Linked DNA regions of Struthio camelus. The protein of the gene in region 1 interacts with the protein of each later gene in a biochemical or structural test. Links are inferred from orthologs where the notes say so. Each region holds a gene or a part of one and is shown in the gene's direction. Other genes may lie near its edges.

The links.
Region 2: the proteins of NR4A1 (region 1) and BCL2 form a complex in vitro, tested with the Homo sapiens proteins (2 studies listed by BioGRID). The link is inferred for Struthio camelus from reciprocal best matches to the Homo sapiens genes NR4A1 and BCL2.

What each region holds. Positions count from the first base shown.
Region 1 is NC_090969.1:1,118,471-1,126,158, reverse strand, and holds the start of NR4A1 (nuclear receptor subfamily 4immunitygroup A member 1), read left to right. Parts: upstream 1-4,685; 5' UTR 4,686-4,705; intron 4,706-5,324; exon of another isoform or gene 5,325-5,368; intron 5,369-7,688. UniProt on the Homo sapiens protein: Orphan nuclear receptor. Binds the NGFI-B response element (NBRE) 5'-AAAGGTCA-3'. Binds 9-cis-retinoic acid outside of its ligand-binding (NR LBD) domain.
Region 2 is NC_090943.1:92,680,141-92,687,242, reverse strand, and holds the start of BCL2 (apoptosis regulator Bcl-2), read left to right. Parts: upstream 1-4,060; 5' UTR 4,061-5,280; coding exon 5,281-5,862; intron 5,863-7,102. UniProt on the Homo sapiens protein: Suppresses apoptosis in a variety of cell systems including factor-dependent lymphohematopoietic and neural cells. Regulates cell death by controlling the mitochondrial membrane permeability. Appears to function in a feedback loop system with caspases.

The sequences.
Region 1 (7,688 bases):
GCACCAGCGCCGCAGGGGGCTGGCCGGGGTGGCAGGGACGGGGCGCGAGAGGCGGGGGGGCGAGGGCCGCGCTGTGCTGCAGGGGGGCGGGCGCGCTGCTGTGTGCGTGCGTGTGTGCTCATACAACAGCGAGGGCTCATACACATGTGCATGCATGTGTGTGTGTGCACGCACGCACTGCAGGGCTGTGTGTGCGTGCCACAGGGCTGCATGTGCATGAGCATGCTGCAGGGCTGCGTGTGCATGAGCGTGCTGCAGGGCTGTGTGGGTGCATGTGTGGGTGCACTGCAGGGCTGTGAGTGCATGAGCGTGCTGCAGGGCTGTGTGGGTGCATGTGTGGGTGCACTGCAGGGCTGTGAGTGCATGAGCATGCTGCAGGGCTGCTTGTGCACGTGTGTGCAGCAGGGCTGTGTGTGCATGAGCGTGCTGCAGGGCTGCTTGTGCACGTGTGTGCAGCAGGGCTGCGTGTGCATGAGCATGCTGCAGGGCTGCTTGTGCACGTGTGTGCAGCAGGGCTGTGTGTGCATGAGCGTGCTGCAGGGCTGCTTGCACGAGTGCATCTGTGCACTGCAGGGCCATGTGTGCATGAGCGTGCTGCAGGGCTGCCTGTGCGTGTGCATCTGTGCACTGCAGGGCCATGTGTGCATGAGCGTGCTGCGGGGCTGCCTGTGCGTGTGCATCTGTGCACTGCAGGGCTGTGTGTGCATGAGCGTGCTGCGGGGCTGCCTGTGCGTGTGCATCTGTGCACTGCAGGGCTGCGTGTGCATGCAAGTGCTGCAGGGCTGCGTGCCGCAGGACTGCATGCGCCCGTACATGCAGGGCTGCGTGTGCAGGCACGCGTGCTGCAGGGCCGTGTGTGCAGGCACGCGTGCCGCGGGGCGACGTCCGCAGGCGTGCAGGCTGCGAGCGCGGGCGCGTGCTGCGCGGCTGCGTGCCTGCTGCCGGGGGGTGTGCGCGGGGCCAGGCCAGCTCCGCGCCGCTCTCATGCCTTGTCCCCGTTCCAGCATGACTCCGTGCTTGGACATTTATGGTATGGGTGAGAGCCGCGCTCGCGCAGCCCGGCTCGCCAGCGCCCGCTGCCAGCGCCGGGGCACCCCGTCCGCGCCACCCTGTCATGGGACCTCCCCGCAGCAGGTGCCACCCGCCACCGGGCTATTTTTAGCCACAGGCCGAGCCTGGCGGTGGCACGGGGGGCCCCGGGGCGGCCAGGCACCGCGTGCCGAGACGCGGCCGGGCGCCCGCTGCAACGCCCCGGCCGCGCCAGCCTGTCATTACCGACAAATATAGGCCGGCTCCGGTGCGGGCGGCCTGTAATCACCCGCCGGCCGCCTTTAATTACACCGCAGGTAATTGGGGCCCCGCGGGCTGCCGGGGGTCCCCGTGCGCCCTCGGCGCCCGCCGGCCCTCGCGCGTCGGCCGGATGGGCTCATCCGTCCCGCTCCGCGTCCGGCTCTGCGGGCAACGGGGTGGCCCGGAGTCACCGGCTCCCGTTAATCGGGGCCGCTTGCCGGGGGCCCGGGCAGCGCCAGCCCAGCCGGGGAGGCCGCGGCGGTGACGGCCCGGGGCTGCACCGGCGGAGCCCCCGCTGCCGCCGGCCCGGGGCATCCCCGCGCGCGCCCGCTCCCCGGGATGCCGCCGGGATTCCGGGGACGTCAGCGGCCCGGCGTGACGTCACGGCCTCCCCCCCCCCTCCTCCTCCTCCTCCTCCTCCTCCTCCCCCGGCGGGCGGCGGCGCGCGGATGGGTCAGCGCGGCGGCGGCGGCGGCGGGGCCGGGAGCAGCGAGGTAACGGGCGGCGGGGAGGGGGCGGCGGCACCGCCTGGCCCCGGTCACCGTGCACCCCCCGGTGACCGTGCACCCTCCTGGTCACCGTGCACCCTCTCGGTGGCCGTGCACCCCCCGGTGACCGTGCACCCTCCCGGTGGCCGTGCACCCTCCTGGTCACCGTGCACCCCCCGGTGACCGTGCACCCCCGGTGACCGTGCACCCTCCCGGTGACCGTGCACCCTCCTGGTCACCGTGCACCCTCTCGGTGGCCGTGCACCCCCCCGGTGACCGTGCACCCTCCTGGTCACCGTGCACCCCCCGGTGACCGTGCACCCCCGGTGACCGTGCACCCTCCCGGTGACCGTGCACCCTCCCGGTGGCCGTGCACCCCCCGGTGACCGTGCACCCTCCTGGTGACCGTGGGCTCCCGGTGGCTGTGCATCCTCCCGGTCACTGTGCACCCCCCCGGTGACCGTGCACCCTCCCGCTCACTGTGGGTTCCCAGTAGCTGTGCACCCTCCCGGTGACCGTGCACCCCCCGGTGACCGTGCACCCTCCTGGTCACCATGCACCCTCGATGAGCATGGGGTCCCCGTGGCCGTGCACCCTTCTGGTGACCCTGGGCTCCCCGTGGCCGTGCACCCTCACAGTCACCGTGCACCCTCTGGTGACCGTGCACCCACCGGTGGCTGTGAGCCCCAGGCCCCTCCAGCGCTGCGCTCCTTGCAGGTCAGGGTGTCCTGCTCCCCTCCGTGCCCGCAGCGGGCCCGCGGGGGTGCCACCCCGGTGACACCTCGGTGACACCTCCATGCAGGGCTGCGGTCCTCCCGGTGGGTGTCTCTGTGCCCGCGGGGCCACCGCAGCATTGCCAGCCCCGGCCTGGCCCCTGCCACCGGGCAGGGCGAGGGTGGCACTGCCCCGGTGCAGGGTGCTGCACAAAGCGCTGCTGCTGGGGCCCCGCGTCACCCTGCGCCAGCCCAGCTTGTCGCCCCCCCGGGGGCCGCAGCTCGGGTCCAGTGCCCGTCCCCCCGGCAGGCCCTGGGGGCAGTCGGAGGTGCCCCGGGGGGGCTGCGGAGGGACCAGCCAACGCGCTCGCCGGCCCAGCCTGCCCGGTGCCACCGCCTGCCCCTCCGGCCCCCCGCGGCAGCCGGCCAGGCGGCCGCTCCTGCTCCCCGGCGTTGCCCAGAGGTGGCATTGCAGGGGGGTGGCATTGCCCCGAGGTGGCACTGCTGGGGGCTGGCATTGCCAGGGGGTGGCATTGCCCCGAGGTGGCATTGCTGGGAGGTGGCATTGCCAGGGGTTGACATTGCCCCGAGGTGGCATTGCAGGGGGGTGGCATTGCCCCGAGGTGGCACTGCTGGGGGCTGGCATTGCCAGGGGGTGGCATTGCCCCGAGGTGGCATTGCTGGGAGGTGGCATTGCCAGGGGTTGACATTGCCCCGAGGTGGCATTGCTGGGGGGTGGCATTGCTAGGAGGTGGCATTGCTGGGAGGTGGCATTGCCAGGGGGTGGCATTGCCCAGAGGTGGCATTGCCGGGGGGGGGTGGCACTGCCTGGGGGCGATCGCCCCGTGCAGCCCTGCCCCAGCTGGCCCCGCACCCGGGCAGGCCGTGCCGCAGCCGGCACCCGCGGCTTTCGGCCAGCGAAGCTGCCGGAGCGGGTCGGTGCCGCCCGGGGCCGCGGGGGCCGGGCGGGCGCAGGCTGAGCCGTGCCGGGACCCGGCTCCCGAAGCCGCCCGGGCTCCGCACCGCTGCGTCCCCCTCGCTGAGCACCCCCAGGCCCCCGCCGAGCCCCGTCCCTCCCGGCTCGCCCTTTCGGGGCCCGCCGGCGCGGGATTCACCCACGTCCGAGCTCATCTTTCCAAAGCGCCGGCTGGTTTCCTGGCGGAGGCCGGGGCGCGTCCCGGCGGATGCGCTGCCCCGGGCCCCCTTTCGCCGCTGCCCGTCGCAGGCCTCTCCGCTCGCCTCCGGCCCGGCCGCTTTTCCCCCTCGCCCTCGGAGGGGCCGGGGCGCCCGGGCGCAGGCGGCGAGCGCCTTCCCGGCCCCGCGTCCCGGGAGGCCTGCCAGGAACTCGGCACAAACATGTAATAAAAACGCAGCTCGTTACGCAGTTGCTTTTCTGAACGTGAGCGCTTAAACAACTCCAGAGCCCCGGCTAAAAATATTTTAACAATAGGAAAATGCATAAATCTTTCCAGCCGCTGACTTATCAGCGACGTTTATTTCTGGCCCTGAAATCCCCAGTTCTGTCTGCCGGACTCGCCGGGCCGGGGCCGGGCGGAGGGAGGTGACCGGGGCGGGGAGGACGCGGGGGCCCCCGGGGGGACGTGCCGGGTGTTGGGGGGGCACCGCGGGGAGCCCCGGGGGATCCCTGGGGGGGCACCGGGGCGCCGGCACCGCGGGAACCGGCACGGGGGGGGCAGAGCGCCGGCACCGCGGGAACCGGCCCCAGGAGGGCACGGGCACCGGGGGGGGGGGGCCAGGGCACCGGCACCGTGGGAACTGGCCCCAGGGTGGAGCCCCGGGGCCCCAGCACCGCAGGAACCAGCACCGGGAGGGCACTGGGGGAGCAATGGGGGGGTCTGGCACTGGGAGGGCACTGGGGATAGAGGTACTGGGGAGGACTGGGAGGAGCTGGAGGTAATGGCACTGGGGGGGACTGGGGATAGTGGTACTGGGGAGGACTGGGAGGAGCTGGAGGTAATGGCACTGGGGGGGACTGGGGATAGTGGTACTGGGGAGGACTGGGAGGAGCTGGAGGTAATGGCACTGGGGGGGACTGGGGATAGTGGTACTGGGGAGGACTGGGAGGAGCTGGAGGTAATGGCACTGGGGGGGACTGGGGATAGTGGTACTGGGGAGGACTGGGAGGAGCTGGAGGTAATGGCACTGGGGGGGACTGGGGATAGTGGTACTGGGGAGGACTGGGAGGAGCTGGAGGTAATGGCACTGGGGGGACTGGGAGGAGCTGGAGGTAATGGCACTGGGGATACTGGTACTGGGGGGACGACTGGGGGTACTTGGAAGACACTGGGGATACTGACACTGGGGAGGACTGGGAGTACTGGCCCTGGGGATACCAGCACCAGCAGGGACTGGGGACCCCAGTGCAGGAGGGACCCGGGCATACCAGCACCAGCCAGGGGTGGGGGGCCCTGGGCATACTGGAATCGGGGTGGGGGGGTACTGGGCATACTGGAAGCAGGAGGGCACTGGGAGCGGGGGGGGGGGGGGGGGTGCACGGGGATGCCGATTCCCCGGGAGGCCCCGGGGGGGGGGGGGGGGGGAAGGAGGAAGGGGGGGGGCGCCCGTGCTATTTTTAGCCGGGGGCCGCGGCGCTATTTATAGGCGCCGCCGCGGGGCCTGCGTCAATGGAACCCCGCGTGCGTCACGGGCCGCGGCCCCCCGCGCGCGCCGCCCCGCCCCCGCCGCCGGAACCGCCCCGCCCCGCCGCGCCTTCTATGGGGCGCGCGCGTGCGTCACGGGGCCCCCGCGCGCCGCCCCGCCCCCGCCGCCTGCGTCACCGAGCCCTTAAGAGAAAGTAGTGGCGGGGGCCGGCGAGCCCCGGCGGGCGCGCGGCAGCGGGTACCGGCACCGGGTACGGTACGGAGCATCGCGGGGCGGGGGCGCCGGGCAGGGTGCACCGGGCGGGGGAGGGGGGGGGTGCGAGGTGCACGGTGCACCGGGGGGAGCGGGCGCCGGGCGAGGTGCACCGGGGGGGTGCGAGGTGCACGGTGCACCGGGGGGAGCGGGCGCCGGGCGAGGTGCACCGGGGGGGTGCGAGGTGCCGGGGGGAGCGGGCGCCGGACGATGCGCACCGGGGGGGTGCGAGGTGCCGGGGGGAGCGGGCGCCGGACGATGCGCACCGGGGGGGTGCGAGGTACCGGGGGCAGCGGGCACCGGACGAGGTGCACCGGGGGGGTGCGAGGTGCCGGGGGGAGCGGGCGCCGTGCGAGGCGCACCGGGGGGGTGCAAGGTGCCGGGGGGAGCGGGCACCGGACGAGGTGCACCGGACACCGTGCGAGGTGCCGGGGGGAGCGGGCGCCGTGCGAGATGCAGCGGGGGGGTGCAAGGTGCCGGGGGGGTGCGAGGCACCGGGGGGAGCGGGCACCGGACGATGTGCACCGGGGGGGTGCAAGGCGCTGGGGGGAGCGGGCACCGGACGATGTGCAGCGGGGGGGTGCGAGGTGCAGCGGGGGGAGCGGGCGCCGGGCGAGGGGCGCGGGGTTCCCCGACCCGGAGACGCCGGGGCCGCGGCAGAGCGGGTGGCGTGCGGCGGCACTGCACGGGCGGGGTGTCCCGGGGGGGGGGGCCGGGGCGCTGCACGGGCGGGGTGTCCCGGGGGGGGGGGCCGGGGCGCTGCACGGGTGGGGTGTCCCGGGGGGGGGGCCGGGGCGCTGCACGGGCGGGGTGTCCCGGGGGGGGGGCCGGGGCGCTGCACGGGCGGGGTGTCCCGGGGGGGGGGCCGGGGCGCTGCACGGGCGGGGTGTCCCGGGGGGGGGGGCCGGGGCGCTGCACGGGTGGGGTGTCCCGGGGGGGGGGCCGGGGCGCTGCACGGGCGGGGTGTCCGGGGGGGGGGGCCGGGGCGCTGCACGGGCGGGGTGTCCCGGGGGGGGCGGGGCGCTGCACGGGCGGGGTGTCCCGGGGACACCGGGGGGGGGGCCGGGGCACTGCACGGGCGGGGTGTCCCGGGGGGGGGCCGGGGCGCTGCACGGGTGGGGTGTCCCGGGGGGGGGGCCGGGGCGCTGCACGGGCGGGGTGTCCCGGGGGGGGCGGGGCGCTGCACGGGCGGGGTGTCCCGGGGACACCGGGGGGGGCCGGGGCACTGCATGGGCGGGAGGCACCGGGGGGGGGCCGGGCAGCCGCCGCCGCGGCGCTCAGTGCCGCCCCGGGGCACTGGGGCTGGCAGGAGCCGCCACCGGGGCGGGCGCCTGTCGGGGCCGGGCTGCGGGTACCCCCAGGGCACGGGAACCCCCCCGCCGCCCCCAGCTGCAGCAGCCGGGTTGGTACCAGGCAGCAGGTCGGGCACTGGGGCAGGCGGCACAGCCGGGGTGCACGGGGGACCGGAGGTGACCCCAAAGGTGGCATCACCTCCTGCCTTGGCGGGGTACCCTGCACCCTGACCCCGGGGCTGCGGGGGGACGGCTGCGGTGGGGCACCGCGGGTGCTGCACCGGGGGCATTGCCGCGGGGCTACGGCCACGCCGGGGGCACCCCGGACCTTGCTGCAGGCAATCGCCCAGGACGTGGCGCCGCGGGGGCATCGCCGCCCGGACAAGCCCCCTTGCAGGCGTTTTTGGCCCTGCCACGCAGCAGGTGCAGCAGCGGCCGGGCGCCGGCAGCATCCCCCCGCACCGCCGGGCCCGGTGCCAGGGGTGCCCGCCAGCGCAGGCGTCCTCCTCCCGCACGCAGCCCTTCATGCAGCGCCTGCAAGTAACGTAGCTGGCTGGTGCATCCCCGGCGTGGGATTTTAGCGCGGGGGGCAGGGGGTGTAATTCCGCATGGTGCTGCGGGCACGGGAGCGAGCCGGGAAGCACCAACGCGTTGGACTAAGCAAACGGGAACGGTGCCCGGCGGGCGCTCGGCGAACGCCGCCCCGGGGCGAACTGACCGCCGGCGGTGATTTACAGCCGGAGCATTTGCAGAGCTGCCGGTGAGGCCGAGCGTGCCGTGGGCGGCCGCAGGTGGCTGATCCCTTGCCCGGGGGCTCGGGGCCAGGGCTGCCGCTGGGCACGTCCAGAGCTCGCGCCCTCCGAGCTCCTGGCCCGTCTCGGTGGCGGAGAGACCCCAGGCGCCTTGCAGACCCCGGCGCGGTGGGTCCCGGCTGGCCGAAGCCTCTTTGGGGACCGCGGGAGAGGTGGGACGCGGGCGGCCCGGCCGGGGCAGCCCCGCTCCCGGGGGCTGCGGGCACCCGCGCGGGTATT
Region 2 (7,102 bases), on another chromosome or scaffold:
TTCTATCCAGCCTGCCTACCCATGAGCCAGGGAAAGAAAGGGTGGGCAGGTCACCAGGAACCAGGATTGTTGTTGAAATTCTGTCGGTGTTAGTACAAAGACACAAGGAAAAGGTGTCAACTTTCAGATTGTAATTAAGTTCACTGTTGCCAGGCATTAAGAACTTTTCTAGAACGTTTGTTAATAATGCATCGTGCATCTGGGAAGCTACCAAAGAAACAGCAGGCATTGTAGAATCCCTGCATGTTCTTCCAGTTGCCCACGTACAGATCAAAAAGCTATCTCACTCAATCTATGTCCTTTCCACTGCCAGACCTGGCTAGTATCTGTTGTCAATGCTCCTTCCTCTGTAACTGTCATGTAAGCTTTCTTTTGTTATGGGAGCTTCTCTTGTATTCCTAATTTTGTTCCAATCCTTTATACAGCTAGTTCTTATTTTACTAGTCTAAATACCTTTAGTGGGACAACTCACATAAAGAGAAATGTGTGCAGAAGGATTTTCAGGATCAGACCTTTACTAGTAGACTTATTGCACTGCTACCTAAAAGCACTGCAGCAATTTCTTAACTGGCTTTATGCATTCTGCCCATGTTGCCTGATAAGTCCTGAGCCTCTCTTGCTGGTTTGTTTTATATTCCCCCCAAAAGCATATTGCCTTTGTTTTGGACATCGTTTTAACTTCCATTTTATCCTGTTGAGCTCAAACAAACAAACAAGATAGAAAACAGTACTGTGATGCAAACTTGTGAAACTCTAATACATGCTTATCACCCACTCAGGTAGCATCATAATTAGTTTTTAAAAAGCCGCTCCCTTAAATTACAGTCATAAATGCAGGTCAGATGCAATGCATCTGACATTCAGTTAGGACCAAAAAGATTGTATAAATGCACATAATTTTGTTTTGGTCATTCTTCAAGGCATAGCTTTTGTTTCCTATGGCTCATCCTTAATACCCTTGCTCAAAGCAAACGGTTGCTAGGATTTTCTTTTGTATTTTTCATCTTTCTTTTGGTACACTCAGCTGTTTGGTATTAACATGCTTTCCTGTGAAGCATGAACACTATTTTCCCATTAAACTTTTAAAACATGTATCGGCTGGGATCTAGCAATGCTATATTATACAGCAAAGTTCTGAATATAGAGCCAGTGGGGGAAAAAAAGCATCATTAATAAATCCATTCCAAACAGAACATCTCATAAAGTTTTGCTGTATCTATTGCTGTCAGAAATCAGTTAGGCACTCTAAAATTATTTTAGTGTACTGCTTATATGCCCTCACAACACTCTGTTCACTTAGATGGGGTTACTTCCATTTACTCACACGAGATAGATTGAAAAACCCCAAGCACATTCAAAGGTGTTTTAAATTTCCCTTTACAAAAGCACATCAATTTTACATGCATCTTTGTCTTCTGCATCAGTCCCACAGTGATTTGTCCTCTGGGCTATAAAACCGATCCTGCTATGACACTGCTGTGCAGCTTACCCCAACAGCTTGTTCTGTTACTTAACATCTGTGAGCACGGTATTTGCCTGCCGTGTTTTCAGTTGCAGGAGCAACTGCATTAGATTCAGTCACGAGTACAGTGAGAGATTTAATCAGCAGCCCAGTTGGTTATGGCTATTCTGATTTTCTGTATCACTTGTTCCTGTAAAACCTCAGGGTGTTACATGGAAACGTCTGGCCACTTTCCATTTGCAGAGCAGTATTTTCTCTTTTGGTGCAAGGAGGTAAAGCTGGTAACTTTTCTTGGTTGACTGGTCTCCTCGGGCTGCGCTAATGAAGCTGCATGTCTGCCATCAGACGCGATACTTCAGTTCATCACCAAAGCCTTACTCTCTGGAGGGTTTTATACAGACAGAGATCAGGTGCGTTTGCACTCCAGCGTTTGACTGGGCTGGGAGTTACACGCAGCACATGCGGACATACGTGGGTAGGGTATCACTGTAAATCGATGGCTGTGTAGAAGACCATCCATCTTCTTTTGACTTCATTTCCCCTGCTGTCCCGCGACCTCTGTTCCTCTTAATCCATTAAAACAAAACCCACCGCAGTCGGCCTCGTTTATACATCAGCAGGCACGAGTGAAAAGGAGATGGAAGCGGGACCCTGCCATATATTCCTAATTTTCCCAGCAGGTTTCCCGTGTGTGGGTGAGTCCTTAGGAAGGCCGGCAGGCAGGGTGGGAGGGAGGAAGGCAGGCTGGGAGGGAGGAAGAGAGGGAGGGAGGCAGGGAGGAAGTCAGGGAAGGAGGGAGGGCAGGCAGGGAGCCAGGCCCCGCCGGGAGCGCGCAGCGGCCGCTGGGGGGCGACCCCGCGCCGCCGGGCCGAGCCGAGCCGGGCCGAGCCGGGCCGGGCCGGGCCGAGCCGAGCCGGGCCGGGCCGGGCCGGGCCGGGCGGAGGTCGGTGCCGCCTCGCCGCGGCGGCGGCGCCTTGTGCCGGGCAGCTGCCAAGTGCCCCCGCCGGCACCGCGGCACGCGGAGGTGCATTTCGGAGGGGGGGGGGAAGGAAATAAAAGAAAAAACCCCCTCAGTGCAGTCTAAAATCCCCCACACGCCCCGGGGCACAGCTGAGCTCTGCACGGGTCTCGCCGCCTGTGCGGTGCCGGCAGCGCCCGGGCGTCCCGGCGGGGCAGCGCTCAGCCGGCGCAGCAAACACGGTTTGGGCACGACGGGTGAGCGTGTGCAGCAAGCGTGGGCTGACCCTGAGCGTGGAGATTCAGAAGGGAGCGCGCGTTGCCTGCATCCCTTGGACAAAATAATCTCCCATTCCCAGCTTCATTCCTGCGCTGCTTTTCTTCTAGGTACAGTGTAGTTTACTTACCAGGTTATCATCTCAAAGTCACCCTCATTCAGATGTTAAGGACACAGACTAGCAGAATTTAACGAACTTCTCCGACTTCTTTTGCTAACGTTCAGCACAGCAAAGTACTGAGTATCTCCTGTTGCCGTTTGACTTGGGTTTAGTCTGGGATTTCTCCCAGTGCCAGCCAGTGCGGCCGCAGCATCAGCATCCCCTGCCCTGCTGCAGGCGGCCGGGGCAGCGCGGGCGGCGGGCGCGCTCTCCCCGCGCTGCGGCTTCACCCGCTCCGAAGCCGGACACCGCTTCTTTGGGCAAACTCCGGCTTCATCCGAGCTCCCAGCCTCTCCTTTCCCTCCTCCTCCTCCAGCTAAAAACCTGAGCCGAGGGACACGCTAGAGCCCTTCCCCTGCCGCCCGTCTCCCGAATTTGACCTCCCAGGCGGCCCGCGGCTGCGCTGCCCGCGGCTGTGCCCGGGGCGCGCCGGCAGGCAGGTGCGCGGGTCCCGCGCTCCGCGCTGCCGCCGCCCAGGAGGGGGCTGCGCGGAGGCGGCCCCGGCCTCGCTCCGCGAGCCGCGCCGAAGCCCCCGGGCCATTTTTTATTTTTTTCCTAAAGATCTTTTTTTTTTTTCCTATTCCCTCCCCCTCCCCTTATTTATTTATTTATTTATTATTTTTAAATAAATCCATGCAGCTGCAGCAGCCTCCCCGGCCCCGGGAGCCACCCGCGGCGCTGCCTCCCTCCCTCCCTCCCTCCCTCCCTCCCTCCGCGAGGGACGCGGCGGCAGCGCTGTCAGCGCCCCCCGCGGCCCGACCGCCGCCGCCGCCGCCAGCCGGGCAGGGCCCCTCCGCCCCCCTTTCCGTGCCTATTTTCAACCCCCCCCCCCCGCCACCCCAATTCCCCCCCTTTTCGTGAATGAAGCGCGAGGCGGGGCTCTGGGCAGGCGTCGCGTCGCGCCGGCCGGGGCCTCCCCCGGGCTCCGCCCCGCCGCCCCCGCCCCGCCCCGGCCCCGGCCCGGCCCCGGCCCCGGCCCGGCCCCGGCCCGCTCCCCCCGCGCCGCCGCCGCTGCCGCCGCCGCCGCCGCCGGCAGAGCTCCCCGCCCGCGCCCGCCGCCGCCGCCGCCGCCGCTCGGAGCCGCCCGGAGCCGCCGGCAGCACCGCGGAGCGCCCGGAGGAGCCGCCCGGAGCCGGCGGGGCTGCGCGGTGCGGCGCGGTGCGGCGCGGAGCGGAGCGGGCGGGCAGCGGCGCCGCGGCCGCGGTAACCCCCTCGGCACCGGTCAGCGCGCACACGCGCCCCCGTCCGCGCCCCGCCTCGGCAGCGCCAGGGGCTCTTCCTCCTTTGATACAAAAGCTGCTCGGGAAATGGCATTTCTCCCCGGAGCCGCACTCAAACGCAATTTTCTTTTTTCTTTTTGGTTTTGTCCTTTTTCTTGCGCTCTTTTTTGCAAAAAAATATTAATTGCCTAATTTTTTCTTTTTTTTCTTCCTTTTTTTTTTTTTTTTGTCGTGTGCGTGTGTGTGTGTGGAAGCGCTGGGCTCCTGCGATCAGTGTCTGAATGAAACTACGTAAATGCATATGTCTGTACGTTGCACTGGAGGGAAAAACGGAGCACTTCTGCGAGAGCTTGGATTCAAATGTGTGTTTCATCTGGTCTTCAAGATTTGTGGTCTCTTTGGGGTTGTTCGCCTTCCTGGGCTCCGAGGCGGGATTTTCTGAGCTTTGACATATCTTTGGAGATGCCTGTTAAACAGGAGTCTGGGAAAAAACATTTGAAATTATAGTGATTTTTTTTTGTCCCTTTCCCGTGACTTGAAGCATCAGAGCGGCCAGAACCTAACGTTTCTGAAGACTTGTGATGTTTGGGTTTTGTTGTTGCTATTTTTTTTTTTAGAGGAAACTTGACAGAGGAACATATTTATAGTCCAAGTAAGTACTTTACAGAGGAAATTTACTTTGTGTAACTTAAAAAAGCAGTGTTGAGATTTCTAGCTTAAAGTGCATTGGATTAACGTTCATCCAAGGCCGTTTAGCAAATCATATTGAATTGCAGTTTTTACGGTGTATGTTCGTCCGCTCCTTCATGTACGTGGTAGTTCAGCACCTAGGGGAAAATGCACCTGATTTTGCCTAAGTATGATATTTTTTAACGTGTATTTCAACACCAAGGAGGAAATGTTTCTAAAGTAAATATATAGTAAGTAATAAATGTGCATCTGGAAGTAAAATATTTACAGCGTTTTAATCCCTATTTATACCGTGCATCTCAAACCGCGGAGGAAACACTGAGAAGACGAAAGTACCTCCAAGACCCTGAGAACTCCCCTGCATCACCATGAATGAAACCGTGCCCGATACAATAACTGGATTATAAATTTTCGTGTTATTAATTTTATTATCATTGGCTGCTTTACTTTTTTGGGTTCATCCTGCTCCTCTTCTTCCTCTCTCCCTTCCTCTTGCTGCTGCCTCGTGGAAATTATGGCTCATCCGGGGAGAAGAGGCTACGATAACCGGGAGATAGTGCTGAAGTACATCCATTACAAACTCTCGCAGAGGGGATACGACTGGGTGGCCAGTGGCGACCGGGCGCCAGCGTCTCCAGGGCTCTCTCCTCCTGCTGCTGCTGCTCTTGCTGCTGCTGGGACTTCCTCTGATCACACTGGGCTGGTGTCTCCGCACCCCGAGCCCCCCGGCTCGGCTGCTGCTAGTAATGCGGCTCCGGGCGACGGGCTGCGCCCCGCGCCGCCGGTGGTCCACCTCGTCCTGCGCCAAGCCGGCGACGAGTTCTCCCGCCGCTACCAGAGGGACTTTGCCCAAATGTCCGGCCAGCTGCACCTGACGCCCTTCACGGCCAGGGGCCGCTTCGTGGCGGTGGTGGAGGAGCTCTTCCGAGACGGGGTCAACTGGGGGAGGATCGTGGCCTTCTTCGAGTTCGGCGGCGTCATGTGCGTGGAGAGCGTCAACCGGGAGATGTCCCCCCTGGTGGACAGCATTGCCACCTGGATGACCGAGTACCTGAACCGGCACCTGCATAATTGGATCCAGGACAACGGAGGCTGGGTACGTGCCCCGCGATTTCCTTCCCTCGCGGAGGGCTGGGCCCCGGGGTGGCGCGCGTTGGGGGTGCCCACGCAGAGGAGCAGGGAGGCGCTCGAGTCGGGGGGAGCAAAAGGCTGGTGCGTAGGCCCGTCGCCAGCTCCTCTGTCGCTGAGCGTCACCTCGCTGTGGGGTTATGGCGAAGTTGGTTTTGGGGTGAGAGCAGCCACAGCTCCCTCCTGCATTGCTGCGAGGATGAGCGAGCCGCCCCCTCCGGCCGAGTCCTCCGCTCTCCTTCCCCCTTTGGGTGCCCCCGGTGGGGGCTGCCGCAGCCGTGGCTCTCGCCACGCGCCAGGCAATATTTCGGGCTCGGGCAGGGGTCCAGAGCAGCCTGGGATGAGTGGCAGCCTCGCCTGCCCAGAGGTAATGCCATGGGCAGGCGCACGGAGGCGACGGGACGACGGCCGCGTGCCTGCGTCCCAGCGGGCTGGGGGGACGCGCTTAACGTGCGAGGGGACACGGTGCTAAAGGCAGTCGAAGGAAACAACGGCCGGATGATCCTCAGTGCCGGTGTTCATAGCTGCGGTGGCAATCGGAGCGGGATTTTGCAGCGTGTATCTGGTGTGAAAGTCCTGTCTTTGTCTCGCCGCCAAACAAAGGTGCCAGGGGATGGGTAGGGGACTCGTCTGGGGCATTGTTCTGGAGAAATTACTATTTGCAGTGATCTGGCACGTTTCAAAGTGAAATGATCTTGTATTTCCAGAGTAGAAATCACTTCTGGCTGGGGTTAGTTTTAGCATTATCCAGAAAGGGAGGATTTCCACTTGCGGAAAATGGACAGCTTTTATACTTTTGGTCAATCGGAGTCTTTTTCTGTCTCTGTCTCTGTCTCTCCAAAATAAATAACCACGTTTGATTGGAAGGGGTTTTCTTTCTGTTTTCCTGTGTTAATTGATCTATTGTAACAAAATGTGATCCCTCAAACCGAATGTGTTGCATGCATAAGGCTTGTCATATTACTGTATTAGAAGGAAGAAACAGCAAAAGTTATCCTGAAGAAGAAACTTTATGTATGGGCTGAGACCTACACTAAGTCACTTAAAATGGAGATATGGTAGGTCAGAGATTGGTAACTTCAGGTTCTGACTGCTATGAAATACAATCAGTGAGCTAAATCAGTTAAAGAGCACACCTTTAAGGGGTGCATGTAAAGGAATGTAAAATACCGTACACGGTTCCCAGTTAACATGGTTGGTAAGCCCTG